7 linked regions of the Macaca fascicularis genome follow. The protein of the gene in region 1 interacts with the protein of each later gene in a biochemical or structural test. Links are inferred from orthologs where the notes say so. Each region holds a gene or a part of one and is shown in the gene's direction. Other genes may lie near its edges. The genes, in order: ABL1, ATR, XPO1, DOK1, ERBB2, ERBB4 and MAPT.

Region 1 (4,157 bases):
CAGATGCATCCCTCTGGGGAGACATGGAGAGCCAATAGGAACCAAGGTGCTTTTTAGTCGCAGAACATGGATTCTATCAGGTGTGGGTTTGGCACATCTAGGTCATTGGTTCTGTAGACTTGCTAAACCCAACCATCTGGGCATTTTCTCGGCTAATATAGAGGATGTTTTCATGTGAATACGTGTTCACCTGTGAAATGTTTATAGTCTTAAAGATTCGTTCCAGGGCAAACATCTGATAGCGCCTGGCAAACCCAACAAATGGCTTTTCTGTAATGAGTAAGCCTCCTAATGCCCAAATAAATAGTTGAATTCGTTAGCAACATGTCGGATGTTTTCCCTATTTCTGTATGTTTCTTCGCTAGTTGTTTTTTGTTGTTGTTGTTGTTGTTGTTGTTTTTTGAGACGGAGTTTTGCTCTTGTTGCCCAGGCTAGAGTGCAATGGTGTGATCTCAGCTCACCGCAACCTCTGCCTCCTGGGTTCAAGCGATTCTCCTGCCTCAACGTCCTGACGCTGGTATTACAGGCATGCACCACCACGCCCGGCTCATTTTGTATTTTCAGTAGAGAAGGGGTTTCTCCATGTTGGTCAGGCTGGTCTCGAACTCCCGACCTCAGGTGATCCGCTCGCCTCGACCTCCCAAAGTGCTGGGATTACAGGCGTGGGCCACCGCGCCCCGTCCGCTAGTTCTAATATTTATGCTTTTTGGAGGGTGAAGGGGTTGAGAGGCACCAAAAACCTTGGCTTCTAGGAGCAAGCCACATTTTCTCCCTTAGAGACTGAAGGAAATCATCCGATTCCGGTTCCAGGAAAATCCAATCCGCAGTTTTTCCCTCGCTTTGTCCCGGTCTTACTACTCGCGCCGGGGAGACGCGGTCCAGCCGACGCTCGGCCGGCGAGAGTCCACCAGGTCCCAGGAGGGCGGGGCGAGGCCCAGCGGTCGGGGTCCGGGCCAGGAGTCTCGGTGCGGGAGGACTCGCGCGGGTGCCGTGGGACCACAACTCCCGGGACGCACCGCGGACTGCGCCGAACACGGTTGGCTGGGAGATCCAGCCCTACTGCCCCCATTGGCCAATGGGACGGGGGAGAGAGGCCCGACCCGGATTCTCGGAGGCCAATGACAATACAGAGGAGGCGGGTGCTTCCTTATCACTCACCTAGCGCTCAAAGAAGCCACATTTAAAAGGTCGTGCCGGGCCCGGCTTTCGCAGGCAGTGGGACCAGAGCCGGGACGCGCGGCGGTGTCCCGGGAAAGCGGCCCTGAGGGCATCCGGGTCCCCTTGAGGCGGGCTCCGGACGTCGTCGTGGGCGGGGCGGAGGGCGGGGCCTGGCCTCGTTGTGGAGCGGCTCGTAATCCATCATGGCGGCCGCGGGGGTCGGTGTCTGTGCCTGAGCAGCGCTGGAGCCGGAGCCGGTTCCCGGGTGCTGCGACTGAGGAGCCCCTCCGCTGTCCACGGCCCCTACCGGCGGGGGGCGGCTGGGTTCCTCGGCGGAGCTCTGGGGATGTGACTGCCTGAGGGCGGTGGTGGTGTCAGCGTCCGGGGCCGGGGGAGAGGGTGTCTCAGGCAGAGACCCCCGGGCTTGGGGCAGCTGAGGCGGCCGGGCCTCCTCTACACGGCGTCCGCCTTCCGCTGTCTGGGCCGCGAGAGTCCTTCGTCCCTTACAGCTCCACCCCGGCTTTGGGACACTGGGGGTCTGTTACCCTCAGCTTGGGACACCCCGTTTTCCGAGGCGTGGAAGAGCGTCGCCCTGGAGTAAGCCGCCCGTGCCGCGCCCCGGCAGCCTCCCTCAGCCCCGAGCCGCCCCTTGTTCCGGATCCCGGCCCCAACTTTGGCCACAGAGCCTCTCATTCAAATCCCTCCCTGCTGTCAAGGGGTCTCCCCTTCCCCCAAGGTGGCTCCCGCGAGCCTCTAATGCCCTGACTTCTTCCAATGTCACCTACGGCCCCCTTAGTCTCAGGTCAGCCAAAAACTTTAATGCAAAGGAAAAGTCTGGATTGGTTCCACAGGCCTTTTAAAAAGCGGACTTAAAAGTTGCTGGCAATGCATTCCTTTTCGTCAGAGTCGAGGGCAAACTCGCTGAAATCTGGGTGACCCGTGTCCTTTTCCGGAGAGCAGAGCAGAGAAGCGAGAGCGGCCACTAGTTCGGCAGGAAATTTGTTGGAAGATGAAGAAGCTAAGATAGGAGGTTGGTGACTTCCACAGGAAAAGTTCTGGAGGAGTAGCCAAAGACGATCAGCGTTTCCTTTATATGTGGGAATTGAAATGACTAGCATTATTGACCCTTTTCAGCATCCCCTGTGAATATTTCTGCTTAGGTTTTTCTTCTTGAAAAGAAATTGTTATTCAGCCCGTTAAAAAAAAAAAAAAAGTCAAGAAACTTTTGGGTAACACTGCAATTACATTACTTAAAATTGATAAACTGCGAAAATAATTGGAACTCCTGCTTGCAAGTGTCAACCTAAAAAAAGTGCTTCCTTTTGTTATGGAAGAGGTCTTTCTCTGATTGACTTCAATTGCTGACTTGTGGAGATGCAGCGAATGTGAAATCCTGCGTATATGCCATTTGCCTCTACGCTCTCTGACCGTTCTGGAAGATCGTGAACCCTCTTCTGGAAAGGGGTACCCATTATTACTTTATGGGGCAGCAGCCTGGAAAAGTTCTTGGGGACCAAAGAAGGCCAAGCTTGCCTGCCCTGCATTTTATCAAAGGAGCAGGGAAGAAGGAATCATCGAGGCATGGGGGTCCACACTGCAATGTTTTTGTGGAACATGGTGAGTGCTTTTCAAAATTTCTGCTCATTATTTTCCTCATGCGTTCATCTTAGGCCTTCAAGGAACTTTGAATAATAGTACTTGCGACAGTTCCTTCCAATTCCACTTAATACATTTGTTACTTTAGTTATCTCTCAAGTTTCTGGTGAAACTTACTTTGTATAAGAAAAAGTTACTTCGTGAGTTCGGCTTTATTCAGAATCTATTTGAGTTGCTTATTTCTTGCCTGCTTCCTCTGCGAATTCACTGTTGACCTTGGACAAGCCATTTTACTGTTCCAGGGCTTCAGTTTCCTGAGGGGCTGGACTTCAGTTGTTTCTTAGGATGCATGGTTCTATGATTCTGCTCTCACCGAAGTCAAGGGCTCTTCTGACATGCATGGATTCTTTACTGCTTTGTCTACAGAGAGCTTTTATCATATTCTCAAAGTGGTTTGTTTTTCTGGTAAAGTTAAGAATCATAGATACTGGTTGATGCTAATATCCTTGACCTTTTCCATCATAAGTGGGACTTGAAAATACTCACTTTGGAGCCATGTGGGAAAAATCAAGTGGGGAGGCAGCATTCCTTATTAATTTTAGATACACAGCTTCTGTCTTACCTTCCATAGGAGTAATCCCTTCCTCGTTGATGAAGCTTTCATCCTCTCTTCTCCCTGTTTAGAGTGACATTTGGGCCAATAAAAGTTGTCTTTGACATTTTTATGAACATATTTGGCATTTGAGTGCTGACAGCACATTTTATGTTGTTCATGTCCAGTAATTCTGTGTGAAGTTAAAGCTAAGGGTCGGCTTACACTAATGTCTATAACCAATTAATTAGGGTTACTGTTTGTACTGTTGCAGCCTGCCATTTTTCAGATTGTGTCCTTTATATTAAAAAATCAATTGAGCCCACCTATCCTATAAGCAAACGTATCAAGTGTGCCAGTGGCTTATAGTTTGAAATTCATTCAGAAATACTTCTTAACATTGGGTGACTGCAATCAACAAAGGCTTCTGTTGGATGAACTTGCATTTGACGGTTGAAGTTTTACTTTCTTACAAGAAAATACTCACTTCATCTAAATAAATCCGGGTGCTTGGATTTTACTTTGCCTTGAAACATTAATTCTATTTTAGCTTTGTTTTTAGGCAAGCCAATATGGTCATGTGTTATGATGGCTCCCAAATTCAGGATTTAAAAAGTGAATTATTTACATTTTAACTTGTGATGATCATGCACCTTACATAGTGAAAATTGGTACAGACTTTTTGGAGAGCTTTGGCGGAACTTATCAGAATTTGAAATGTATGTGCCAGTGACCCAGTAATCTCATTCCGGGAAGCTGGTGTAGAAAGCAGTGTAGTTCCCTACGTGTCCCTGATATCCCTTCAGGGGTT
Region 2 (4,245 bases), on another chromosome or scaffold:
ATACCACCTATGTGCCAGGCACTGTTTTAGGTCCTGGGTATCTGATAGTTAACGAAATAGACAAGACCTTGCTCTCCAGGAGCTTACATTGTAACTGAAGAGAAACAATAACATAGTATGTCCGGGTGTGGTGGTTCTCACCTCTAATCCTAGTACTTTGGGAGGCCGAGGCCGAGGTGGGAGGATCGCATGAGGCCAAGAGTTTGAGACCAGCCTGGGCAACATAGCAAGACCTTGTCTCTACAAAAAATAATTAGCCAGGCGTTGTGGCATGTTTGTAGTCCCAGCTACTCAGGAAGCTGAGGCAGGAGGATCAATTGAGCCCAGGCTGAAGTGAGAGAATCGCTTGAGCCTGGGAGGTTTAGGCTGCAGTAAGCTATGATTGCAACATTCATTGCATTAGAACCTGGACAACAGAGTAAGACAATGTTTCTAACAAAAAAAAAAGAGAGCGAGAGAGAGTGTGTATATATGTTAGTCTATATGAAGCTCTTTGGTGTTATTTTGGCAAACACATGAAGGAAAAGGGGCAATGACAGAATGGCGTTCAAGGCAGAGTACAGCAAATGGAAAGTTCTTGAGGCAAGAGCATATTTGGCTGTCATTACATCACTTTTTTAAAAGATCCTGTATCAGTTAACTATCCTCATGTACCAAAGAACAAATGTAAACATACTGCATGACTTTGAGTGATTAACTACCTAACTTCGACATGTCAACAATCTCTTATAGTGATCATCTTTCCAATAAATTGAGCTAGAAAATGTGTATTGCCAAAACCCATTGCTTTACTTTAAAAATTAAATCACAGGTTGTGGATGCCCGTAATGGTGGCATTTCCACACATAGTACTGCTGCTGATTTGATGAGACAAAAATATAAACCAACCCCATTTTTAAATATTAAAGGTTGGTAGGGTCCTCAAGGAAACCTAAGAGTGACTTCAAGTTGAAAAAGAATGCTTAGAAGGAAAAAAACAGGGAGAGCCCACCTTTTGGCCTGTATCTCTCAGAAAGAGGGACAAGAGCGGTGGGAAACTGAGGAACTTTTAAAATGTGAGAGCGTTACTCTGGGGAAACCTGGAGTCTACTCTTGGCCTTTACTCGCTGTCATCGTTCTCACATTTGTGAAGCGAGAGTCTGGGCTGGCGGCCCTCAAGCCCTATTCTCCCCCGATCCGGGGATGTTGCTTCGCTGTGCCTCCCAGGCTTGAGAACAGTAGAGTCTGGCCGCTCAAAACGAAAGCTTCACGAACATTGCTCGCTGGGTGCTGAGAACGAAGGCTGACGCTACCCGGGAAATTCGACCGACGCGCGCCAGCCCGCTTGCCCCGCCCGCTAACGGCTTCCCGGCTTCCCCCGGGTCCTAAGCAGAAAATACGCAGGGCCTGGCAAACGGGGCCAGTAGCGGCTTCCGGGAGGAGTTTTGGCTTCCGCAAGGCTCCGTCGGGCGCCGCGCTCTTCCGGCAGCGGTAGCTTTGGAGACACCGGGAACCCGAGTCGGCGTGGTTGAAGAGTGCCGCGCAGCCCCAGCATGGGGGAACATGGTGTGGAGCTGGCTTCCATGATCCCCGCCTTGCGGGAGCTCGGCAGGTAGGGGTAGGCCCAGCCTGGGTCCTGCATCCTCCTCCTCCTCCGGTCCCGGCTGGGGTTTCACATGCTTTCCCCTCCCCTGCCGCGCCATGGCTGGCATCCCCTAAGTCCGCGCTGCGGCCCTTGTGGAGATGCTCCGTGGCTGATTTGGGCGCTTCTCCCTCAGAGTGCCAGTTGATAGGACATGGGGCGGTCGCCACAAACCTGCGGGAAGCCGGTCCGTAGGGGAGAGAGGCGTCTGCTGGCCCTGGTTTACCGCAGCAGCCCGTGGGTGTTAGCCCCGACCCGAGAATTAGCCCCGACCCGAGAGTTTGCTTCCTGCAGCTGGAGGGAAGAGTGCCTGATAATCGCTTTCTGGTCACTTTTCTACACTCATTTCCTTCTCGAAAATCTTTTTCCTTAGACGAGGGACTTGACCCATCAGGTTCTGTTCTTCGTGATCACTCGTGGAGGAATTGGTTTTTAGCCTTACATTTTGTCCCCAAATTGTCCTTGGAAGAAAATCACCGCTTCTTATTTTCTGCAAGTGACATCACTTGCTGGAACAGGCAATTTTTTTCTTTGAATTGAAGTCACAGTACGTACTGAAGATGTGACCTCCTTCGTATTGATCGTCCAGTTCCCGATCCGTTGTTTTAGTCAGAAATTGGAGAGATAGACCTCAGGGTCCACAAAATCTCAGCGTGCACAGAGTGTTGCCAAAATTTGGAGACGATTTAATATTTGGTTTGCAAATGCTTGTTGTCTGTAAACCTCGTGAAAACCAGTATCTTACCAAAAGAAGGAGGGAGAGGGGTTGATGGCTGCCACACCCCATCAATACACAGGCAGGCTTCCCTGAACCAGGCCTAAAGACTCGGTAGGGCTTGTTTTGTTTTGTTTAATTCTAACCTGTGAACAAGAAATAAATGAGCTCGTGGTGCTACTGCAGTTAAATTATCAGTTGGAACAACTGCTTCCCAGTTTCTTAAACTGTTTGAAAACTTCCCACACAAAGTCAAAGCTGACATTAAGCCAATGGGATAGCTACTTCTCTTTCTTTTTGCAGCGCAGTTGTGTTCATTTCCACTGGTTGGCCATCCAAATAATCTAGTTTCAATATATGAATAAGAGGATAAATGAAGGGATCATTCTTGTCCTAACTGCGTCACTATTTTTGAGTGTATGAATTTTTTCCACTTTTTATCTGCGGCAAATATACTTCGTGTCTAGTTTACAAATTAACTTCTACATCTCTAAAAGAAGATGAAGAAAAGTGATCATTGTAGGAAGGTGGTTTACAAATTTCATCTTTCAGGCTCACTGTGAAGCTCAGTATGTTTTTCCCACTTTGCTTTAAAGTAGAATTAGCTGGTTAATACTTCTCTTCCCTCTTGCGTCTTCCTCCGTGGGTCCTGTTAATAAAAATAATTGGTTCTTGGATTATATATAGTCTGTTCATCAGTAGAGCTTATGTTACCTTTCATTTATTTGTAGCTATGCCAAGAGAAAGAATAGAAAAACTGACCCATAGAGAGTTGTCTAATAGTTTTTAATTGTCATGGCTTTTTCATTAAAACTACTTGAATCAAAAAAGCTGATCCATTTTCATAGTATGTCCATGACATAGAATGGAATAAGTGTTACCACTGTTTAAGAAAAAGGGTCAGAGAAGTTGAAGAACCAAAGGCACAGCTAGCAGATACCAGAGCTAGGTTTCAGATTCAAGCTCTCAAGGCCTTTTCTTCCAAAACGTTTTCCTTTAATTGACTGTGGCAATTAGACTACTGAAAAAAAATGAGATACTAGTGTTCTAATTTATGGACTGCTCTTCCTCAGTCCCTCAGATAAATTTTGTCCTATTGTTTTTTTGCTGTTAGCACTCTGCTCTGCATAGTCTTGCCAAATGACCTTTCCACTTTCCTGCCTTCAACCATAATCTGCTATTTGATGACTCCTAATATGTTTTTCCAAATCATGTCTCCTATAGAATTGTATATTTACTGTATACTGGCAGTTTCACTGAGTGTCCTATGTGTAGTTAAGTCAGCATATCCAATACAAATTCTCCACATGTCCTAACCTTCATAAGCTTTCTTTTTTTAAATTAAAAAAAAATTTTTTTTCTCTTATTCATTGAAGTAGAGCTATCTCAGTAAATGGCACCATATTCACTTATTTCTCCAAAACAGAAATCTAGAAGTCATTCTTGACTGTTCTCCCATGTGCTTTTAGACTATGTCCTTGGCCCTCTTTTAATCTGTGCTCTCTTCCCAAGTAATCTTACCTAATCTCATTACTTTAAATGTCATCCATATGCTGATAACTCACAAATTTATATTTCTAGATCAGAGATATATATTAGGTTGCTTACTCAACATCCACACTGGGAAGTGAAAATTAACATATGCAAAGCAGAACGCCTGATTTACTGCCCTTGAATTTGTTCCTTCTCCCATGTTACTGTAAATATACCAACCAAAAGCCTAGGAGTCATCCTTGGTTTTTTCCCCTTGTCCCTTAATAATCCTTAAGTTAGTTCTGACAACTATATGTTTAAGATACATCTAGAATCTAACACTTTTCACTGTCTCCACTGCTACCACCAGAATTTTTTACCTAAAGTATTACAGTAAACTTAGTTGATCTCTCCATTTCTACTTTTACCTACTTAA
Region 3 (3,538 bases), on another chromosome or scaffold:
ACTAAGCTTCTACACTAATGATTTCAGTGATCTAATGATTTTTTCTTGATTGATTTATTGCTGAATATAGGTCCGTTTATTAATGGTTAGTCGAATGGCTAAACCAGAGGAAGTATTGGTTGTAGAGAATGATCAAGGAGAAGTTGTGAGAGAATTCATGAAGGATACAGATTCCATAAATTTGTATAAGAATATGAGGGAAACATTAGGTAAGTTAATAAATACTGTTAATCTTTACCTTTATAAATTTATTCTGGGGTAGAAATATATTTTAGAAAATGTACTGTAGTTTCTAAATATTTTCTAAACATGGTATTCATTGGTAAAACTCTTTGCTCATTATTTGCATTTGAAACAATTTTTTTTTCGTAGTTTATCTTACTCATCTGGATTATGTAGATACAGAAAGAATAATGACAGAGAAGCTTCACAATCAAGTGAATGGTACAGAGTGGTCGTGGAAAAATTTGAATACATTGTGTTGGGCAATAGGCTCCATTAGTGGAGCAATGCATGAAGAGGATGAAAAACGATTTCTTGTTACTGTTATAAAGGTATGCAAGGGATAGGTATGAATTAGAATTGCTAAATAAGTATTATGTTGTTACAATAAATGATATAAATCTGTCTTATTTACAGGATCTATTAGGATTATGTGAACAGAAAAGAGGCAAAGATAATAAAGCTATTATTGCATCAAATATCATGTACATAGTAGGTCAATATCCACGATTTTTGAGAGCTCACTGGAAATTTTTGAAGACTGTAGTTAACAAGCTGTTCGAATTCATGCATGGTAAATCTCTTTCTTTACTATATTTTGTTTTTATTTTTATTGAACAAAATAAATGAATGTTTTTGTCTTGTTAGAGACCCATGATGGAGTCCAGGACATGGCTTGTGATACTTTCATTAAAATAGCCCAAAAATGCCGTAGGCATTTCGTTCAGGTTCAGGTTGGAGAAGTGATGCCATTTATTGATGAAATTTTGAACAACATTAACACTATTATTTGTGATCTTCAGCCTCAACAGGTATGTTAAGCACTGAGCATATGTTATTTTTAGAAAGTAACACCTGTATCAATCTGTATGTATCAGTGGAAATAGGAAGGCAACTGTTGGATCCAATAGAAGTGTTTCTGATTAAACTTTCTTTTTTCCTTGAGAACAGGGTATTACTCTGTTGCCCAGGCTCAAGTGCAATGGCACGATTACGACTCACTGCAGCCTTGAACTCCCAGGCTCAGGTGATCTTCCCACCTCAGCCTCGTGGGTAGCTGGGACTACAGGCGTGCACCGCCTTCACACCCAGCTAGCCTTTTTCTCCCCCCTTGGTAGAGATGGGGTTTTGCCAAGGCTTGTCTTGAACTCCTAGCTTCAAGCGATACGCTAGCCTCAGCCTCCCAAAATTATTTTATATGTGTGAGCCACGATGCCCGGCCTGATTAAATTTTCATAGTGAGACAGATTCTTGTTTTTGTTTTTGGGGGGGTGTGTGTGTGTGTGTGTGTGTGTGTGACGGAGTCTCCCTCTATCATAGAGTCCAGGCTGGAGTGCAGTGGCACAATCTCTGCTCACTGCAGCCTCCTGGGGTTAAGTGATTCTCTTCCTCAGTGGCTGAGATTAACAGGTGCGTGCCACCACGCCCAGTTGACTTTTGCCTTTTTAGTAGAGACGGGGTTTCTCCATGTTGGTCAGGCTGGTCTCAAACTCCTGACCTTGTGATCCGCCCGCCTCGGCCTCCCAAAGTATTGGGATTACAGGCATGAGCCACCACCATGCCTGGTTTGGGTTTTGTTTGTTTGTTTGTTTGTTTGTTTTGTTTTGAGATGGAGTCTACCTCTGTCACCCAGGTTGGAGTGCTGTGGTATAATCTCGGCTCACTGCAACCTCTGCCTCCCAGGTTCAAGCAATTCAAGCCTCCCAAGTAACTGGAATTATAGGCACTTGCCACCATGCCTGGCTAATTTCTTTGTATTTGTAGAAGAGATGGTGTTTCACCACGTTGGTCAGGCTGGTCTGCAACTCCTGAACTCAAGTGATTGGCCTGCCTCAGCTTCTCAAAGTACTGGCATTACAGGAGTGATCCCCACCGCACCTGGGCCAAAATCAGTTTCAAGATATTTGAGTTGCTTGTGTGTGAATTGCTTGTGTGTGGTTTTCCTTATTAGGGTGTATAAGAACATAAAAGTTAAAATGTCTGCTTTTTAAAATAGGTTCATACGTTTTATGAAGCTGTGGGGTACATGATTGGTGCACAAACAGATCAAACAGTACAAGAACACTTGATAGAAAAGTACATGTTACTCCCTAATCAAGTGTGGGATAGTATAATCCAGCAGGCAACCAAAGTAAGTATTCTACTTTTTCTTAAAGTTTTCATGGGATTTAAGAAGACTGTGTTCCTTACAAATATATTGAATTCAAGCCTTTAAACATGTATGTGTGATCCGTAAGTGCTTTTATGTGTGGCTTTGTACATTTTATTATCTGGGCCAGGCGTGGTGGCTCACGCCTGTAATCCTAGCACTTTGGGAGGCTGAGGCGGGCGGATCACCTGAGGCCAGAAGTTCGAGATCAGCCTAGCCAGCATGGCGAAACCCCATCTCTACTAAAAATACAGAAATTAGCTGGGCTTGGTGGCACATGCCTGTAACCCCAGCTACTCAGGAGGCTGAGGCAGGAGAATCACTTGAACCCAAGAGGCAGAGGTTGCAGTGAGCCGAGATCGAGCCTCTGTACTCTAGCCTAGTCGACAGAGCAAGACTCCATCTCAAAAAAAAACCTGAAAATCTGGGCCGGGCGCGGTGGCTCACGCCTGTAATCCCAGCACTTTGGGAGGCCAAGTCAGGCAGATCACAAGGTCAGGAGCTCCAGACCATCCTGGCTAACACAGTGAAACTCCGTCTCTACTAAAAGTACAAAAATTAGCTGGGCGTGGCACCGGGCACCTGTAAGTCCCAGCTGTGCTCAGGAGGCTGAGACAGAATGGCGTGAACCCAGGAGGCAGAGCTTGCAGTGAGCCAAGATCACGCCACTGCACTCCAGCCTGGGCGAATAAACGAGACTCCGTCTCAAAAAATATTTTACTTCATTCTTAGGTAGATATGGACAAAAAGGCTTTTGTGTTCGTTTTTACCATTTGGGATTATAAATATGATTTAGGGTAAGGGAAGTGTAATGGCTTTTGTTTCAGTAATTATGTGGATAATTTTTTTTTTTTTTTTTGAGACGGAGTTTCACTCTTGGTGCCCAGGCTGTAGTGCAATGGCATGATCTCAGCTCGCTGCAGCCTCTGCCTCCCAGGCTCAAGCAATTCTCCTGCCTCAGCCTTCCAAGTAGCTGGGATTACAAACAAGCGCCACCATGCCTGGCTGATTTTGTATTTTTAGTAGAGAGAGGGTTTCTACATGTTGGTCAGGCTGGTCTTGAACTCCCGACCTCAGGGTGATGTGCCTGACTCAGCCTCCCAAAGTGCTGGGATTATAGGTGTGAGCCACCTCACCTGGCCATTATGTGGATAATTCTTACATGAT
Region 4 (4,153 bases), on another chromosome or scaffold:
AGGCCTTAAGGCTGGGTGGGGGATGGGGTAGGGTTGTCCCAGCCTCCTGCCAACACCACCATCGCTGTCACCTGGCAACCGGAGGCCAGGCGCTATGGCTCCTCAGCCAAGGCCTTCTCTGCCTAGGGCTGAGAACAGCCCCTCTACAGCAAGCCCCCGTCAACATGCTTCCCCCAACCCAAACAATCAATCCAACAAGGCAGCTTTGTTCTGGGGACATTTTGGCTTGGGGACCCAGGGGTAGGGCCTCCCGGAGGAGCCCCCTCCCTTAGGGCGCGCCTGGTGGCCCTGTTCAGAACACCCGGAGCCCCCGCCTCCGGTATGTGCCTCCTCTCTGTACTCTGTCTCACATGCCCTTAGACAAGAATCAAACTCTCAGTTGGGTGGCTTCCCCTCGACTCCATCCCACACCACCGTTTTCTCTGGTCCCTCCACATCCTCTCCATCCCCTACTCTCTCCCTCTGCGGTTAACGTGACTCCCCCTACCTTGACCGAGCAGGACCCTAATGGCTGGGAGAAGAGTGCTGGTCCTGGAGATCAGTCCTAGGACTTCCAAAAAAAAAAAAAAAAAAAAAAGATCGGCCAGGGGAGACTAGACCCCCCTCTCTCCCCCTTCTCCGTTCTTCCCTCCCACATCCCCCTGAGCCCTCCCACATTCCGCCTTCTCGCTCCATTCCTCCCGGCCAGTTCCCTCCTCTCCTCCTCTGGGTCCTCCCTCCCTGTGGAGCGGGCCACTGCTGCGCCCCCTCCCCCTCCCCGGCCCTCCCGGCCGGCTCAAAGAAGCTTTCTCTTCCCGCGGCATGGAGGCCAGGCCTCTGCGGTCAGGGAGCTGACATGCAAGCGGCCGCCGGGCGGCGGGGCGTCCCCGGTGGTGGCGGGAAGCGGTTCAGTCCCAGCCCTCCCTCCGAGTCCCGGGTCAGCGGAGTGTAAACAGCCCGGCTCGGGCGGGGCTGGGGGCGGGCCCGCCCAGGGGAACTGAAGCTCTGGAGGCCCGTGTGGGTCTCTCCGGTGCCTCCGGGGGCTTTCGGGGTGAGGTCATGGCTTTCACTCTGATGTCACGTTGGACATATGACGTCACGCGCAGCCACCACGTCCAGAGGCCAGGGTCCTCGCGCCAAAACCGAGTACTTTCGGTGGAGCTACCGGCGCGCCCCTACGACGGCGGGTAGGGGCCTGGGTAGCGCCAGGCTAATCCGGGGGCCTCCACCCTTCCTTCTCGCTCTTCTCCCTCACCCCACCGCGACCCCCCAGCGGCCGCCGGTGGGGGCCGGGGAGGGGCGGAAACGCCTCCAGGGAACCCGGCCCCGCCTCCCGCCCCGCCTCCCGCCCCAGGGCCAGGAAGCGCGGAAGGAACCGCCGGGGGCCATGGACGGAGCCGTGATGGAAGGGCCGCTGTTTTTGCAGAGTCAGCGCTTTGGGACCAAGGTAGTCTGGGGCACGGATGCCTAACCTTATCCGGGCTAGTAGTGGGTGAGAGAGCCCAGAAACAGGGAGAGGTGGGCAGCAGGCTGGAGCGCGGCGCGGGCAGTTGGAGAGCCTGTGACTGTCCTGCGAAGTTGCTTTGTACGCTCCCAGGAAGCGTCTCTAGTCTCGGGGTTCTGGTCTTGGGGAGACGGAGTGGCATCCTCCTTGGGAAACTTCGCCCCCCCGTTTGGAAGCCCCAGACCCCAAATCGACCTGCGCCGCTCCCTCCTTCCCCGTCGGGACCCGGGCCGCCCGCGCACGCCACTCACTCTCCAGCCCTCTCACTCTCTCCCTAGAGGTGGAGGAAGACATGGGCCGTGCTCTACCCGGCCAGTCCTCACGGCGTAGCGCGGCTCGAGTTCTTTGACCATAAGGGGTCGAGCTCTGGGGGTGGCCGAGGGAGCTCGCGCCGCCTGGACTGCAAGGTGATCCGTCTGGCTGAGTGTGTGAGTGTGGCCCCTGTTACCGTGGATACCCCGCCTGAGCCCGGCGCCACTGCCTTCCGCCTGGACACTGCTCAGCGCTCGCACTTGCTGGCGGCCGACGCGCCGTCCAGTGCAGCCTGGGTGCAGACGCTGTGCCGAAACGCCTTTCCGGTGAGGAGCTGCGGCGATGTGGGGTGGGGGCAGTTACAGAGGCAGAGAAATGGGGCTGGCTCAGACCGACACCCACTCCCCGTTGAGAAAATTACAGGTTTCTCGATGCTCTCTCTCTACTACAGAAAGGCAGCTGGACTCTGGCGCCTTCAGATAACCCACCTAAGCTTTCTGCCCTGGAGATGCTGGAGAACTCCTTGTACAGCCCCACCTGGGAAGGTAGACGCCTAAGAAGCCGGGGCAGGGATGGAGTGAGGAGGAGGGCCTTTGGAAAGTGGGTGGATACCCAGGGGCCCATGGGGAAGTAGGAAGGCCCTGAGATCTGGCTTCCAAGTGAGTGCTTGGACATTACGCTCATGAGTCCTCTGGGTCCCCACTGCTGCCCCCGCCCCTCCCCCAGCAGCTGTCTAATCGTATATGCCTTCCAGGATCCCAATTCTGGGTAACGGTGCAGAGGACTGAGGCCGCCGAGCGCTGTGGCCTGCATGGCTCCTACGTGCTGAGGGTGGAGACTGAGAGGCTGACTCTCCTGACCATGGGGGCCCAGAGTCAGATACTGGAGCCACTTCTGTCCTGGCCCTACACTCTGTTGCGTCGCTATGGCCGGGACAAGGTGCAGGGGCTGTCCGGGAGGGCTTCCTGGGTTGGGCAGCTGTGGGAGGGGTGGGGCAGGACAGAAGGTGGGAAGCGCTGACCTTTGGATCCCCCTTTCTTGCCTACCCGGTGACCCCAGGTGGTCTCTTCTTTGTAGATACCCTAACTAGTGCAGGCCTGTGACTCACTTCCTCTGATGGCTCCTGGTAATGTGTTTCCCTCTCTACCCTCCTCAGGTCATGTTCTCTTTCGAGGCCGGCCGCCGCTGCCCCTCCGGCCCTGGAACCTTCACCTTCCAGACAGCACAGGGAAATGACATCTTCCAGGCAGTTGAGACTGCCATCCACCGGCAGAAGGCCCAGGGAAAGGCCGGACAGGGGCACGATGTTCTCAGAGCTGATTCCCATGAAGGGGAGGTGGCAGAGGGGAAGTTGCCTTCCCCACCTGGCCCCCAAGAGCTCCTTGACAGCCCCCCAGCCCTGTACGCTGAGCCCTTAGACTCCTTGCGAATTGCTCCATGCCCTTCCCAGGACTCCCTATACTCAGACCCCTTGGACAGCACCCCTGCCCGGGCAGGAGAGGGAGTGCAACGGAAGAAACCTCTCTATTGGGACTTGTTTGAGCATGCACAGCAGCAGTTGCTGAAGGCCAAGCTGACGGACCCCAAAGAGGACCCCATCTATGATGAACCTGAAGGCTTGGCCCCAGTCCCTCCCCAGGGCCTTTATGATCTGCCTCGGGAGCCCAAGGATGCATGGTGGTGCCAAGCCCGGGTGAAGGAGGAGGGCTATGAGCTCCCCTACAACCCTGCCACTGATGACTATGCTGTGCCACCCCCTCGGAGCACAAAGCCCCTCCCTGCTCCCAAGCCTGAACCTGGTACTGCAACTGGCAGTGGCAGCAAAAGCTACAACTCAGCCCTATACAGCCAGGTCCATAAAAGCGGGGCCTCAGGGAGCTGAGACTGTGAGCTGTCTAGAGTAGGGACTGACAAGACTGGGGTCAAGTCAGAGGCCTCTACCTGAGAAGGAGGGCAAGGCTGAGGTGGCTAAGGAGGACCATGGGGAGGTGGCACTAGGGATCTAAGAAAATGGTTAGAACCAGCAGAAGCCAGAAGGTGGGAGGGGCCGTGCTGTATGAGACCAGGGGACCAGAGGGTAGGGGAGTCAAAGGAAGGACAATCCCAGGAAGTCCTAAGAAGTGGGGCAGATGGCAAGGCTGAGGGATGGGCTCTGTATCCTCCTAAAGCTGTCCCTTCTCCACTTCCCCAAAGGAAGGGACAGCTGCGGGACCAGGTCTGTGGAAAGTGGTGCATGGTCAGAGTGGGTGCAGTTTGAGGGGCCCATGTGGAGGCCTCAGGGAGATGTTGGACTGTGCCTGGATTCTTACTCCTGCATTGTTCTTTGCCAGAGACCTATTTAAAAATTTTAAAATTCTCATTAAAGTCAGCTTGGGTTTAAGAAGTTTATGTGTGTGAACAGAAAAAGAGGGGACACAG
Region 5 (3,538 bases), on another chromosome or scaffold:
TTGGGAGAGGGGCAGGGGGCATCCAGAAGATTCAGGATTCGTCATCGCCTCTCTTGGGGGATTTTTACCCCTTGGCCCTGAGTTGTGCCTTTGGGACAAAGGAAGCCTTTCTTTGCCAGCCAACACCCTGTACTGGCGGGTGAGCTCCACAGGGCTGGCACGCTGGGGCAGCCTCTGGATGCACAGGGTGGGCCTAGTCAGAAGGCGCCTTTCCCCTGAAATCCCTCTACTTCCCAAGCACACAAGCTTTCTCCTGCTGTTAAACCTGCAGTGTGCAAGGGATGTCGGCGGAGGGGTCCTTCAGTCAGCCTTCTCCCTGTCTGAGATGAAATGACTCTGGGAGTGAGTTTGGGTGGGGAGGCCAGGTCCAAGAAGGTCCCCCGCCCGTGTCCTCTGACCCATCTGCTCCCTCCTGCCAGTGTGCACCGGCACAGACATGAAGCTGCGGCTCCCTGCCAGTCCCGAGACCCACCTGGACATGCTCCGCCACCTCTACCAGGGCTGCCAGGTGGTGCAGGGTAACCTGGAACTCACCTACCTGCCCACCAATGCCAGCCTCTCCTTCCTGCAGGTGAGGCCCGTGGGCAACCCAGCCAGGCCCTGCCTCCAGCTGGGCTGAGCCCTCTGTTTACAGGTGGGTGGCAGAAGAAGGTGCCCTGCCCTTTGTTTCCTCTTTTGTTGTGGTTTCTCAACCAGGAAGTCCTTTCTAACGTCTAACCCCCATTCATTTTACTGCAGAATCAGTTGACTCTCTCTCTAATGTGGCTGGCCGAGGTCATCTCTGGATGGGATGCGTCTGTGTTTCCGCTAAATCTTGTGCTCTCTTGCCAGCATGATCATGTCCCCCGTCCACCTGCCCCAGCCACTATCCTTCTCCCATCTACAGCAGCAGAAAGGGCTGGTGAGAAAGGTGGATTACAGGCCCAGTTCTGCCACTGATGAGCCCTATGAATGTGGCCTACACCCCCTTAGCTTCACGGGGTCTCAGTTTCCCTATCTGTATATTGGGAGCAATTGTGAAGCTCAAAAGAGAAATGTCTATGAAAAGATTATGAGCAGGAGAGAGTGGAAACCAACCTGCTGGGTTGTGTCCATGGACCCTGGAGTGGGGCCATGTGCTTGGTTTGTCAAATTGCAGACGCCGGCTGAGCATGGTGGCTCACGCCTGTAATCCCAGCACTTTGGGAGGCTGAGGTGGACAGATCACCTGAGGTCGGGAGTTCGAGACCAGCCTGACCAACATGGAGCAACCCCGTCTCTAATAAAAATATAAAATTAGCTGGGAGTGGTAGCACATGCCTATAATTCCAGCTACTTGGGAAGGCTGAGGCAGGAGAATCGCTTGAACCTGGGAGGCGGAGGTTGCAGTGAGCCGAGATCATGCCATTGTACTCCAGCCTGGGCAACAAGAGCGAAACTCCGTCTCAAAAAAAAAAAAAAAATTGCAGACGCCATCCCATCCAGGCCTTTGCTTTCACTGATGAAGAAACTGAGATGCAGAGAGGGCGGGGTACCTGTTCAGAGTTTACGAAGTGCCCCCCCACCATTATCTTTCTTGATCGTGTAAGAATCTGGTGAGGCAAGGTGGGGCGTGATCTTTATCTCCATTTTATCGTTTTATATAAGAGGGAACAGGACTGCTCAGTGGCTGGGGGCCTTGCCCAAGATCTCCAAGTACTGGGGAACCTCAGGGAGGCCCTGGGGGTGGCAGTGTCCCTGTTTCAGCCCCACCCTGCTTCCCCCTTCCAGGATATCCAGGAGGTGCAGGGCTACGTGCTCATCGCTCACAACCAAGTGAGGCAGGTCCCACTGCAGAGGCTGCGGATTGTGCGAGGCACCCAGCTCTTTGAGGACAACTATGCCCTGGCCGTGCTAGACAATGGAGACCCGCTGAACAATACCACCCCTGTCACAGGGGCCTCCCCAGGAGGCCTGCGGGAGCTGCAGCTTCGAAGCCTCACAGGTGGCCTTCGCCGTCATTGAAACCTTCTCTTGGTTATTCAGAGCTGACCAGGGCCACTGCTAACCATGGGGAGGCTTTGTGTGCATTAGAAATGGTGTCCCTTCTGGGCAGACGCAGGCAGAGCCTGGGAAGACACCCTGAGAAGACTGGAAAAAATTCCCCTTCTTCCTAGGAAGCTGCAGCTTACGTCAGCGCACAGAATTCAATCATGAGAATGCAGGCTGGGTTTTTGCCCCCACTTGGCTGAGTGAAGTGTACAGTGAACAGCCTATGTAACTGTTTGCTGGCCCTGGAGCTGACTCTGCCCCAGAGTCTGGGTGCCAGGTGCTTTGCCCGCATGGCCCATTTCAGTCACACTGCAGTCCTGTCAGGAAAGAATCAGTGTTATTCTCATTTTACGTATGAGAAAACTGAGGCTTGCAGAGATGTGAGTGATGGGGCTGGGTTTCAGACTCCACGGTCTCTTAACCACCAAGCAACATGTCCGGAGTAGAGGTGAGAGGGAAGGAGAAAGCTGCGGTCCACGTGAGCATCTGGACGTAGCATGGACAACTCACTCCTCCCTGGCTCTCGCTTTGTTCATGTTGCGGGGGTGGTGGTGGTGGGCTCAAAGACGGTGACGATATCTTTCTCTCCTCCCTGGGGAATCTGGGGTTGTATAAAAGGCCTGCTCCTCTTTTAGAAGGCAGGAGGGCCCCAAGGGAAGCAGAAGGTGACAGAAGGGGAAAGGGTCCCCTGATCATTGCTCACCCCACAGAGATCTTGAAAGGAGGGGTCTTGATCCAGCGGAACCCCCAGCTCTGCTACCAGGACACGATTTTGTGGAAGGACATCTTCCATAAGAACAACCAGCTGGCTCTCACACTGATCGACACCAACCGCTCTCGGGCCTGTAAGCCATGCCCCTCCCTGCTGCCTCTTCTCTCAGACAGCCTGACCCCAGCCCCAGACTCCCGACTTACAACCCAGTGCCTGCCCGCCACTGCCCCAGCCGCCTACACCCATTTCCTCCCTCTCTGTCCCTCCTGCCATCTCTCTGGGCCTCTTCATCTCTGGGGTTCTCTGTCCTGTCTTCCTCTGCTTCTAGGCTGTGCCTGTGGTTTGGGGGCCTCTCAGCCTGTCTGGGTCCCTCCTTCACTGTGCAGTTGGCCTCGTGGCCTCTGCTGCTGTTTGTGTCTCTCTCCGTTATTAACCCGTCCTCTCACTGTTAGACATCTCTCTCACTGCCTCTCCCTGGTTCTGTCCTCAGGCCACCCCTGTTCTCCAGTGTGTAAGGGCTCCCGCTGCTGGGGAGAGAGTTCTGAGGATTGTCAGAGCCGTGAGTCTCAGGGAGGCCTGGAGTCAGGGAAGGGGAGGGCCAGGACCGGGGCTGGGTGGAATGCAGGTGTCATACGGGTGACATGGGAGGGGTGGGATAACAGGCTTGGGATGTCTTCCCTGGGGCAGGTAGTCTCCCTAGAAGGTGATGCTGATGAGGGTCTGGTGCTCAGGGTGCCACTCAGCCTTCATCCTGCCCTTTGCCCAACAGTGACGCGCACTGTCTGTGCCGGTGGCTGTGCCCGCTGCAAGGGGCCA
Region 6 (4,206 bases), on another chromosome or scaffold:
TTTGGCGTCTTCATGGAGCCTGTTATTTGCTGTGGGTCTAAGAAAGGGAAAGCTTCAGGCTTCAGGCATCTGTATTTCCTATCTGTTCTCAGCTCCATGGAAATTCTTAAGGGATGGAGCTATAGATAAGAGAGTGGGAAATGGAGATCCAGGTCTCAAATGAAAGGCAGGGTGGTTTGATTTTTAAGCTCCCCTGATACTTTTTATTTATATATTTGCTGCTTCTAGAAAAACCAAAAAAGGAAAGTGATTCATACATAGAATGCCTGTACAAATAGTAACTAATAACTTACTACCCCCAGGAGATTCTGGTCCTTGCCAGGGTGCGGTTTCAGAGCTGTAAAAGGCAAGGGATATGAACATTGATATGACCCAGTCCCAGAATATTTTAGATTCAGAAAAGGTCAGAGATTTTCATAACTAGCAATGACCTCCGGATTAGGGACCATGAATGTGCAGAGTGAGGACAAGGAAAGGGCCTAAAGCTGGGTCTACTGTAGAAGAAGCAGAATCATTTAAGGTTAATTATGTTCTGATGTGGCCTCCTTAAATACTTTCAGGTTGAGACAATTTCTAGCCCTTTAAGATTAAATCAGTGGCTTTGGACTAGAATCTGCTTAATAAGAATGAACTCCAAAGGTGAAAAAAACATAAAATCTAAAAATCAAAGGGTATGGCTTTATAAATGTGAAATTTTAGTTTGGCTCAATGTCGGTCAGTTTGGAAATGTGGGAATAACCGGAGAGATGGCATAACTGGGGGCGGGAGGCGGGGCGGTGATTATATCCCTACCACCACCTAATCCTCAGGGGCTACTAGTTACTTACTGTGCACACTTTTAAAGTACTTTCTAATTGTGGACCATGAGTGGCAGAGTGCTGCGGGCGGAGGCTTTTTGCTGAAAGCAACATTGACTTTTCTTTTATTTCTAGGGAAAGTCCTGTCTGTAGATAAGCACCGTGGGACAATGGAGAAAATGCTGACTTGTTTTTTAAAAAAATCTTTTCTGTAAGCGCCCCTCCGATGGTCTGTCCACTCTGCGGGCCAGCTGTCCCAGGCCTCTGCCAGGGAGGGAAGAGGAGTGCTTCAGTGCATGGCTTCGGTGAGCCCTTTAAATCCAGCTTCCCCTGCCCCCACCAAGCGGCTCCCTCTCCCTGACAGGTGTTTTCCCAACTCCGGAGGCCTAGGATTTTGGGGAGTGGCTGAGCCAATGAGATTTCCCTTTGGGGCGGGGGGCGGGGGAGAAGGGCGTGGCTAGTTGGGTCAGAGCATGGGCGGGGTTTGCGCGGCTGAGCAGAGCCTGCCTGGTTGCGTGGAGGGTTGTTTTATTCCCACCGCCCCCCCCACCTTTTTTTTTTTTTCTTTTTTTTTTTTTTTTCTGGAGTCTTATTAATTTCTCTGTGGGCTGCAGCTGGAGACCGCGGAGCGTTGGAAATGACGCTCGGAGCTTTAATTACCGCAGCCGCCGGACAAGTGTGAGGAAAGCTGACAGGAAAAAGAAGGACGGGATCCGGGGAGAAGCGAGAAGCTCCCCCCGCCCCGCTCCCCTCCCCATTTGGACTGGAGGTGCAAGGAAACTGAAGAAGGAGCAGAACACAGCCCGGCTGCGGGGAGAGGCCGGAAACCTACCGCCTCTTTGCAATCAACTTTTTTTGGAAACCTTTCGCCCCCCTTCCTTTTTTATTGTTGACCAACCAGTGAGAGAGAGAGAAAGTGAGGAGGCAGCGAGCAAGCGAAGGCTCACGCGGGGAAATAACTGCACAGTTCGGCCCGGACCGCCACGCGCACACACCGAGCACACTCCAACACACGCACACTCGCCCCCTCTTCGGGCCCCGGCCCTGGACCCGCGGGCGCGGACTCGGCCGCCCGCCCTGGGAGTCGCTACACCGCGCGCGCCGCGCCCGCCCCCCTCGCGCCCCCACGCGCGCCCGGCTGGGGGATCTCCTCCGCGTGCCCGAAAGGGGGATATGCCATTTGGACATGTAATTGTCAGCACGGGATCTGAGACTTCCAAAAAATGAAGCCGGCGACAGGACTTTGGGTCTGGGTGAGCCTTCTCGTGGCGGCGGGGACCGTCCAGCCCAGCGATTCTCAGTCAGGTGGGTTCCTTCTGGCGCTCCGGTCGCCGAACCTGCCGCCGCCGGCGGGGCTGCCTTGAGTGGCTCCCCCGCCCTCTTCACCCATCCCGGGAGGCGTGGAGGGACCGCTCGACCGGGACTTCTTCCCTGGGCTCTCGGTCGCCCCTCTTTCCATTTGAAACTTACCCTGTATGTGTGCCTGTGCTTTATCGTGAAGAAATCACTCTGAGCCCCTCTTTTTTCTCTCCTTAACCCCCTGTTTTTCTTTCCCGAGCGTTTTGTGTGGGAGCCTAAGCGGGATCCCTTCTGGTGGCGCCTGTTGTTCGGGACATGGGAGACCCAAATCCCCAGTCAGAGGAGACTCTCCTGTCCCTGTCTGGTCCCTCGAGGGAGGAACCCGCACCGCCGGGGCCGCGGAGGGCCGGGGTCCTGGGGAGGTGCTGGCTGGGCCTCTCCCGCGCCAAGCCTGAAGGGCGGTGGAGAGTGGCGCTCAGAGACCCGGGCTTTGCACCTGTGTGTGCTGCCGGCGGCCGCTGCGCCCCCAGTCGCCCAAGCCTTGTGGGGTCAGACGCGACTCGTACCCAGCCCGGGCAGCAAGAGTGCAGCGGGCGGGCGCGCCTCGGTCCGGGGTCTGGAGCTCTGGGCCTCTTCGGCCGGCTTCCCGGAGCCCTCGCCCCATTGACTTGAGGGGCGCTTGCTCGCCTGCATGACCTCTTAAAAAAAAAAAAAAATGGCTTGGCACACTCGAGCCAGAAGCCGGGCCTTCCCGTCGGTTGCCGTGTTTGGCTCCTGGAAGAGTTCTTCCTGTAGTTCAACTTGCTATTGGCCGGAGTCCTTCAAACTTGTCTGTTTACTGCCTGGCCGGGCTGCCGAGCCTGCGGGTCACTGGATCCACCCGAGGCGCAAGCGGCGGCGGCGGGTGCGCGGCCACTGCTTGCTGGAGAGCTCGAGCCCCAGGTACCTGGGCAGGCAAAGGGCTAACTGACCCCGAGAGGCAGCGCGGCGGGGTTGGAGCGCCAAGGCTTGCAGGACTAATGACAGCACCTGCAGTGCAAGGAAGCTCAAAGTTTCTGACACTTGAGTTTCCTGGGGATGAAAGTGGGACGGGAGAGGTCTGAGGAGGACCGGTGTCTGATGCGGCCAAGGGGTGCCTTTTGGAGAGCCAGGGAGATTTCTGAAACCATTCGGGGATGGTGACTGGAGCGTGGGAAGTAGCTTGAGGTGATAAAGCCCCCGGGAGTGGCGATAGGGAGCGCTTTAGGCCCCCGGAGGGTGTCCTTCTGACCTCACCAAGGAAACAGCAAGCTGTAGTTTTCCCGCTCCGCCCCCGCCGCCGCCGCCTCCTTTGCCTAGTAAACAACAAGTTACAATCATCGAGGCTTTCAAAATGACCTTCGAATGGCACATGTGCGGCGTTTTGTGCTGGCTGTTTGCACCCTCCCAATTACTCCGAAATTCTTCACGCATACCAGGTCCCGCGCTCCAGCCACCCCCGGAATCACACCAACACGGACTTGACATTCCAAGCGGCCTCTTAGATACATCTCTTTTTATCTCCCTCCCCACTTCGAGTCCCTTCATATTTTCCCTCAATGGGTTGATTATACACATTGACCCATTCAAAGGCAGTGGCGACCGACATGCAGGCTTAGCCGAGAGGAATTTCTACGAGGCGACCTACTGGGGGCTGGCTGGTTCAGCCTCTGCCGCTGAGGGACCCCGCTCCGAGTCCGCAGCAATTTGGTATTAACTGTGCGGCTCCGGGTTGAGCTATGCCGAAAAGCCCTTTTCAGAATTTCTGCAAGGAATGTAATCCAAATTAGTTCTGCAGCTGTCCTCTTCCTCGTCTCAGGCGACACCAGCTCGCGCCCTCGCTCATCTCTTCTCGTTTCGTTGGGCGAATTGTCAGACCCACAAGTGAGCCCATTTAGAGCGCGAGGATTAGCGTGCCATTGTTCCGTGTGTGACTCTGTACTTGAAATTCTGGGGGCACAAAGGCGAGTCTCACTTGTTCAAAACACAAAGTGATCCAGATGAAAGGGCCGTACAAAGAAAAACTCTCGGGTGCATCCCTGGTATAATTGCAACACGCATACTAAGGTGATCCAATGGAAACTGTAAATGC
Region 7 (4,264 bases), on another chromosome or scaffold:
GGTTGCCATGAGCTATGACTGTGCCACTGCACTCCAGCCTGAGCAAGACCTTGTCTCCAAAAAAAGGTCAATTCCATTGACTTTTCTAAGGTGTACACCATCAAGGGGCAGTTCCATCCCCAGGCCATTGGCTCATGAGACATTCTGAAGTCAGAAGGCTAGGGCAGATCGCTTTCAGCAAGCCCCCACGGTGGTTCTCACTCCTACTTCTTTGGATATATGCCCCTCTGTTTAAAAATAAAGTTAATATGGATAAAAAAAAAAAGAAAGAAAGAAAAAGGTCAGTTCCAGAAACTCAGTGTGAATAAAGCATTTTACTTGCTTTTTCTATTAATCTATAACATATGTTGGTTTTTAAAAAATAATGTAAGAACCATGCAAATTGGAGCTTCAAGACAACTTCCCATCTCCCTAGGAGGAGACGGCTGCCCTAAACCCCCATACATAGAAATCCGCCCACTGCCAGGGCTTAAATTTGACGTTGGGGAAATGAAAAATCCAAGCTAAGGCCGAAGCTTGGGGCCTGGGTGACCAGTAGAATGAGGACCACTGGTCAGTTTCAGGCTGAGATGCCTCTTCCAGGGGACAATCTCCAGCTGGCCCTTAAACATTCAGACTTCAAACTCTACTTACAGCATAAAGATGTTTCAAAAGACGTGATACAAATAACTGTGTGTGCAAATGTTCTGCGATGTGTTAAGCACTATTTCAATTTGGTCTAATTTAAGATTTCTTTTCTAGCGTCACGGTTACATACATCATAGATCCAAATACTTTTTTTTAAAGTACAGTTCTACTGTATTGTAACTGAGTTAGCTTGCTTTAAGTGAATTTGTTAAGGAAAGGATTCACCTTGGTCAGTAACAAAAAAGATGGGAAAAAAGCAAGGAGAAAGGAAGCAGCCTGGGGAAAAGCGACCTTAGCCAGGGGGGCGATTTCGGGACTCGGAGGGTCGGGGTGGGCGGACTGGGGAGCTGGCCACGTGGAAGGTCGCTCAGGACCTCTCCAGGAGAGGACACCGCCTCAGGCTGACTGAAAGGAAAGGGGCAGGGGACCCACTGGCGGAGTCACTGGCCTTGCCCCGACCCCGCAGGGCCCGAAGGAAGACACCCACCCCTCCAACGAGACAAAGGCTCCAGCTATGGGAGGCGGAGAGTGCGCGTGCGCCATGGAACGCGCGTGCGCGCTGCGGTCAGCGCCGCGGCCTGAGGCGTAGGGGGAGGGGCACCGGGAAAGGGCAGCGCCGAGAGGAACCAGCCGGGAGGCGCCGGACAGCCGAGCGGCAGGGCGCTCGCGCGCGCCCACTGGTGGCCGGAGGAGAAGGCTCCCGCGGAGGCCGGGCTGCCCGCCCCCTCCCCTGGGGAGGCTCGCGCTCCCGCTGCTCGCGCCTGCGCCGCCTGCCGGCCTCGGGAACGCGCCCTCTTCGCCGGCGCGCGCCCTCGCAGTCACCGCCACCCACCAGCTCCGGCACCAACAGCAGCGCCGCTGCCACCGCCCACCTTCTGCCGCCGCCACCACAGCCACCTTCTCCTCCTCCGCTGTCCTCTCCCGTCCTCGCCTCTGTCGACTATCAGGTAAGCGCCGCGGCTCCGAAATCTGCCTCGCCGTCCGCCCCTGTGCACCCCTGCGCCGCCGCCCCTCGCCCTCAGCCTCCACAGACTGGGGCTTCGTGCGCCGGGCATCGGTCGGGGCGACCGCAGGGCCCCTCCTTGCCTCCCCTGCTCGGGGGCTGGGGCCAGGGCGGCCTGGAAAGGGACGTGAGCAAGGGATGCACGCACGCCTGAGTGCGCGCGTGTGTGTGTGCTGGAGGGTCTTCACCCGCTTCGCGCCGACCCCAGGTGGAGGCCGTGCCGGCAGGGTGGGGCGCGGCGGCGGTGACTTGGGGGAGGGGGCTGCCCTTCACTCTCGACCGCAGTCTTTTGCCGCAATGGGCGTGCGTGGGGGGGAGGGGTCCGATAACGACCCCCGAAACCGAACCTGAAATCCGCTGTCCCTGCCGCTGTTCGCCATCAGCCCTAAGGAAGATGTGGATCGGGTTCTAGAAAAGATGACTGACTCCCTGCACGCCCCTCCCTTTACCTCCCGAGCAGTGATTCCGACAGGGCCTTCACTGCCCCTGATTTTAGGCGGGGGCCGGCCCCCTCCCCTTTTCCTCCTTCAGAAACCCGTAGGGGACATTTGGGGGCTGGGAGGAATCGAGGAGATGGGGAGGGGTCCAGGCGCTGTCACTTTAGTTGCCCTTCCCCCTGCGCACGCCTGGCACAGAGACGCGAGCAGCGCCGTGCCTGAGAACAGTGCGAGGATCCCAGTGTGCACGCTCGCAAAGGCAGGGGTCACCTGGCCTGGCGATGTGGACGGAGTCGGCGGCCGCCGGTCCCCGCTCGCGGGCAGGCACAGCAGCAGCCATGCACTGACGGGCGCGGGGCTGCAGGTGCATCTCGGGGCGGGTTTCTTTCTCAGCGCTCCGCGCGCAGGGTGCCCGGCGTGTGCGCTCCCTGCCGGAGGCGCGGGGCTGGCGCGCAGGGCTCGCCCCTCACTGCGGCAGTGGGTGTGGATCCTGGTGGGCGAGGAGGGGGGAGGATAGGCTGTGCCTCCTCCCACTCCCGAGGTGCCATCTTTTTTCGGCGTGTCACGTCTTTACGGTGCCATGCCAAACCGGGTGGCCGGGCTTCGTAGGACAGGGCGGGGCCTGGCATTAAAGGGAGGGGGACAATCAGCGCTGAAATCTTGGCGTTTTGCTGCTGCGGGCGTGAGCGCTGGGGGCGTTCACCCAGCACCTTCTTCGGGGGCTCTTTGCTTTGTCTGTAGAGGTTACGTGATCTGCGCTCCCAGCCCTGGTTTCTGGCTTTTATTCTGAGGGTGTTTAGCCAACCTCCCCCCACCCCCAAGCACCTCTTTCCTTTTTCGTTCCTCATTTCCGAGCCCATTGTTGGATCTCGAGGCTTGCTGGGGTCGACGAACCCGAGTCAACCCCCCGACCCCCGGCACGCATGGAACGGGCGTGACCGCGCGCAGCCTCGTCTCGGAGTCTGCGGGCGCCAGGAAGCTTCTGAAGGGATGGGATTCGAGTCTCCGTGCTGCGCTGCGGGCGGCGGCAGAGGGATCACGCCCCTCCCAACACCCCGAGTGTCCTGAGGGCCAAGCCACACCAGGTTGCCCAACGAGGGACGCTGGCTACCCATTCGGGGATGGGTGGGGAGCCCCGGTGGGGCCTCTCCAGCTTTACGCCCTGTTGCTTCGCCTGGCGGGAGAATGTGAGGAGGGGGCATAAGGTTACTGGTGCTGCGGCCACACCCATTTTTCTGAGCCCACTGGAGGGGGCACAGAGGGGGAATTGCCATGGGAACCACAGGCGTCCGGAGAGGGGACCTTGGGGCTGGCCCCACCCCTTCCCTGGGGAGATTGGGGACCCTGGGGTAGGCGGGGCCGCGCCCAGTTGGCCTCCTGGAGGACACGGGAGGAAGCCCCCAACCCCTGCACCTGAGACTCTAATTGGCCTCTGGCGGCCGCAGATAGGCAGCCCTTGGGTGTATTTTTATTAATATTATGTCTGTACTGATTAATATTATTTATCGTAAATGCGGGATTTCACCCGTATCCAAGTTCACCGTACCCCCAAAACCGAGTCTGGGGCTGCAAGGAGAACTCCTGGCCAAGGCATCCGAGCCTCGCCCTCCTGTGATGAACCTGGTACGCGCCGTTTTCTGGTTAATTCTATCGCTGAAAACTGGTGCGGGGGGGCGCACTTCTGAGACGAACGAGCATCTAGGAGCTGAATCCTCCACGCGGGCTGCCCAGGTTGATCTGAATTTCCGGGGAATGGCTTGACTGGGGAACTAGAGCCCGCCCGGGACCAGGCTGACCTTCCTCGACGGTGGCGTCGAGGGCTGGAGCCTGAGTGCTGCGAGGCTTCCCGCATGGCTGAGCCACCGCGAGGGGTTGCAGAGCGGCTCAGGGGTCAGTTCAAGCATCTTCTCTCCTCCCTCGCCCCCAGACAGAGCTGGGCGCGGGATTCCGGTTCCAGATGGAGTGAGGGTCTCGGGACGGCCCTGGAAAAGGGGAGCCCACGGTCAAGGCTGCCTATTGCCATCTCGAGCAGAGATGTCACCTGCTGCCGTTGGAGGAAAGGGAGCCCGGTGGGGATGAGCGCATTTAGCCCAATGCTGGGAACAAAGCACAATCCGCGCTTCTGCGATTTCGCTCCATTTTGAAATGTGTTGGCGCTTTGGTTGGGCCACTGCGGTGGGCAAGGCCGGGGAAGGAG

What was found.
Region 2: of the proteins of ABL1 (region 1) and ATR, one has a biochemical effect on the other in vitro, tested with the Homo sapiens proteins (2 studies listed by BioGRID, with this or other methods). The link is inferred for Macaca fascicularis from reciprocal best matches to the Homo sapiens genes ABL1 and ATR.
Region 3: the proteins of ABL1 (region 1) and XPO1 interact in a test that uses a peptide from one of them, tested with the Homo sapiens proteins (2 studies listed by BioGRID). The link is inferred for Macaca fascicularis from reciprocal best matches to the Homo sapiens genes ABL1 and XPO1.
Region 4: the proteins of ABL1 (region 1) and DOK1 form a complex in vitro, tested with the Homo sapiens proteins (5 studies listed by BioGRID, with this or other methods). The link is inferred for Macaca fascicularis from reciprocal best matches to the Homo sapiens genes ABL1 and DOK1.
Region 5: the proteins of ABL1 (region 1) and ERBB2 form a complex in vitro, tested with the Homo sapiens proteins (3 studies listed by BioGRID and IntAct, with this or other methods). The link is inferred for Macaca fascicularis from reciprocal best matches to the Homo sapiens genes ABL1 and ERBB2.
Region 6: the proteins of ABL1 (region 1) and ERBB4 form a complex in vitro, tested with the Homo sapiens proteins (2 studies listed by BioGRID and IntAct, with this or other methods). The link is inferred for Macaca fascicularis from reciprocal best matches to the Homo sapiens genes ABL1 and ERBB4.
Region 7: of the proteins of ABL1 (region 1) and MAPT, one has a biochemical effect on the other in vitro, tested with the Homo sapiens proteins (2 studies listed by BioGRID). The link is inferred for Macaca fascicularis from reciprocal best matches to the Homo sapiens genes ABL1 and MAPT.

What each region holds. Positions count from the first base shown.
Region 1 is NC_088389.1:13,167,391-13,171,547, reverse strand, and holds the start of ABL1 (tyrosine-protein kinase ABL1), read left to right. Parts: upstream 1-1,353; 5' UTR 1,354-1,932; coding exon of another isoform or gene 1,933-2,031; 5' UTR 2,032-2,639; coding exon 2,640-2,775; intron 2,776-4,157. Other genes in the region: uncharacterized protein, read left to right, coding at 1,933-2,031. UniProt on the Homo sapiens protein: Non-receptor tyrosine-protein kinase that plays a role in many key processes linked to cell growth and survival such as cytoskeleton remodeling in response to extracellular stimuli, cell motility and adhesion, receptor endocytosis, autophagy, DNA damage response and apoptosis.
Region 2 is NC_088376.1:45,385,469-45,389,713, reverse strand, and holds the start of ATR (serine/threonine-protein kinase ATR), read left to right. Parts: upstream 1-1,443; 5' UTR 1,444-1,532; coding exon 1,533-1,591; intron 1,592-2,781; exon of another isoform or gene 2,782-2,985; intron 2,986-4,245. UniProt on the Homo sapiens protein: Serine/threonine protein kinase which activates checkpoint signaling upon genotoxic stresses such as ionizing radiation (IR), ultraviolet light (UV), or DNA replication stalling, thereby acting as a DNA damage sensor.
Region 3 is NC_088387.1:60,431,903-60,435,440, forward strand, and holds part of XPO1 (exportin-1), read left to right. Parts: intron 1-70; coding exon 71-209; intron 210-372; coding exon 373-554; intron 555-639; coding exon 640-796; intron 797-870; coding exon 871-1,034; intron 1,035-2,218; coding exon 2,219-2,353; intron 2,354-3,538. UniProt on the Homo sapiens protein: Mediates the nuclear export of cellular proteins (cargos) bearing a leucine-rich nuclear export signal (NES) and of RNAs.
Region 4 is NC_088387.1:47,388,228-47,392,380, reverse strand, and holds DOK1 (docking protein 1), read left to right. Parts: upstream 1-1,331; 5' UTR 1,332-1,366; coding exon 1,367-1,426; intron 1,427-1,761; coding exon 1,762-2,061; intron 2,062-2,186; coding exon 2,187-2,280; intron 2,281-2,489; coding exon 2,490-2,674; intron 2,675-2,891; coding exon 2,892-3,617; 3' UTR 3,618-4,115; downstream 4,116-4,153. UniProt on the Homo sapiens protein: DOK proteins are enzymatically inert adaptor or scaffolding proteins. They provide a docking platform for the assembly of multimolecular signaling complexes. DOK1 appears to be a negative regulator of the insulin signaling pathway.
Region 5 is NC_088390.1:60,768,440-60,771,977, forward strand, and holds part of ERBB2 (receptor tyrosine-protein kinase erbB-2), read left to right. Parts: intron 1-419; coding exon 420-571; exon of another isoform or gene 572-634; intron 635-1,749; coding exon 1,750-1,963; intron 1,964-2,720; coding exon 2,721-2,855; intron 2,856-3,212; coding exon 3,213-3,281; intron 3,282-3,491; coding exon 3,492-3,538. UniProt on the Homo sapiens protein: Protein tyrosine kinase that is part of several cell surface receptor complexes, but that apparently needs a coreceptor for ligand binding. Essential component of a neuregulin-receptor complex, although neuregulins do not interact with it alone.
Region 6 is NC_088386.1:108,380,061-108,384,266, reverse strand, and holds the start of ERBB4 (receptor tyrosine-protein kinase erbB-4), read left to right. Parts: upstream 1-1,400; 5' UTR 1,401-2,020; coding exon 2,021-2,102; intron 2,103-4,206. UniProt on the Homo sapiens protein: Tyrosine-protein kinase that plays an essential role as cell surface receptor for neuregulins and EGF family members and regulates development of the heart, the central nervous system and the mammary gland, gene transcription, cell proliferation, differentiation, migration and apoptosis.
Region 7 is NC_088390.1:67,473,567-67,477,830, forward strand, and holds the start of MAPT (microtubule-associated protein tau), read left to right. Parts: upstream 1-1,441; 5' UTR 1,442-1,574; exon of another isoform or gene 1,575-2,015; intron 2,016-2,261; exon of another isoform or gene 2,262-2,517; intron 2,518-3,027; exon of another isoform or gene 3,028-3,152; intron 3,153-4,264. UniProt on the Homo sapiens protein: Promotes microtubule assembly and stability, and might be involved in the establishment and maintenance of neuronal polarity.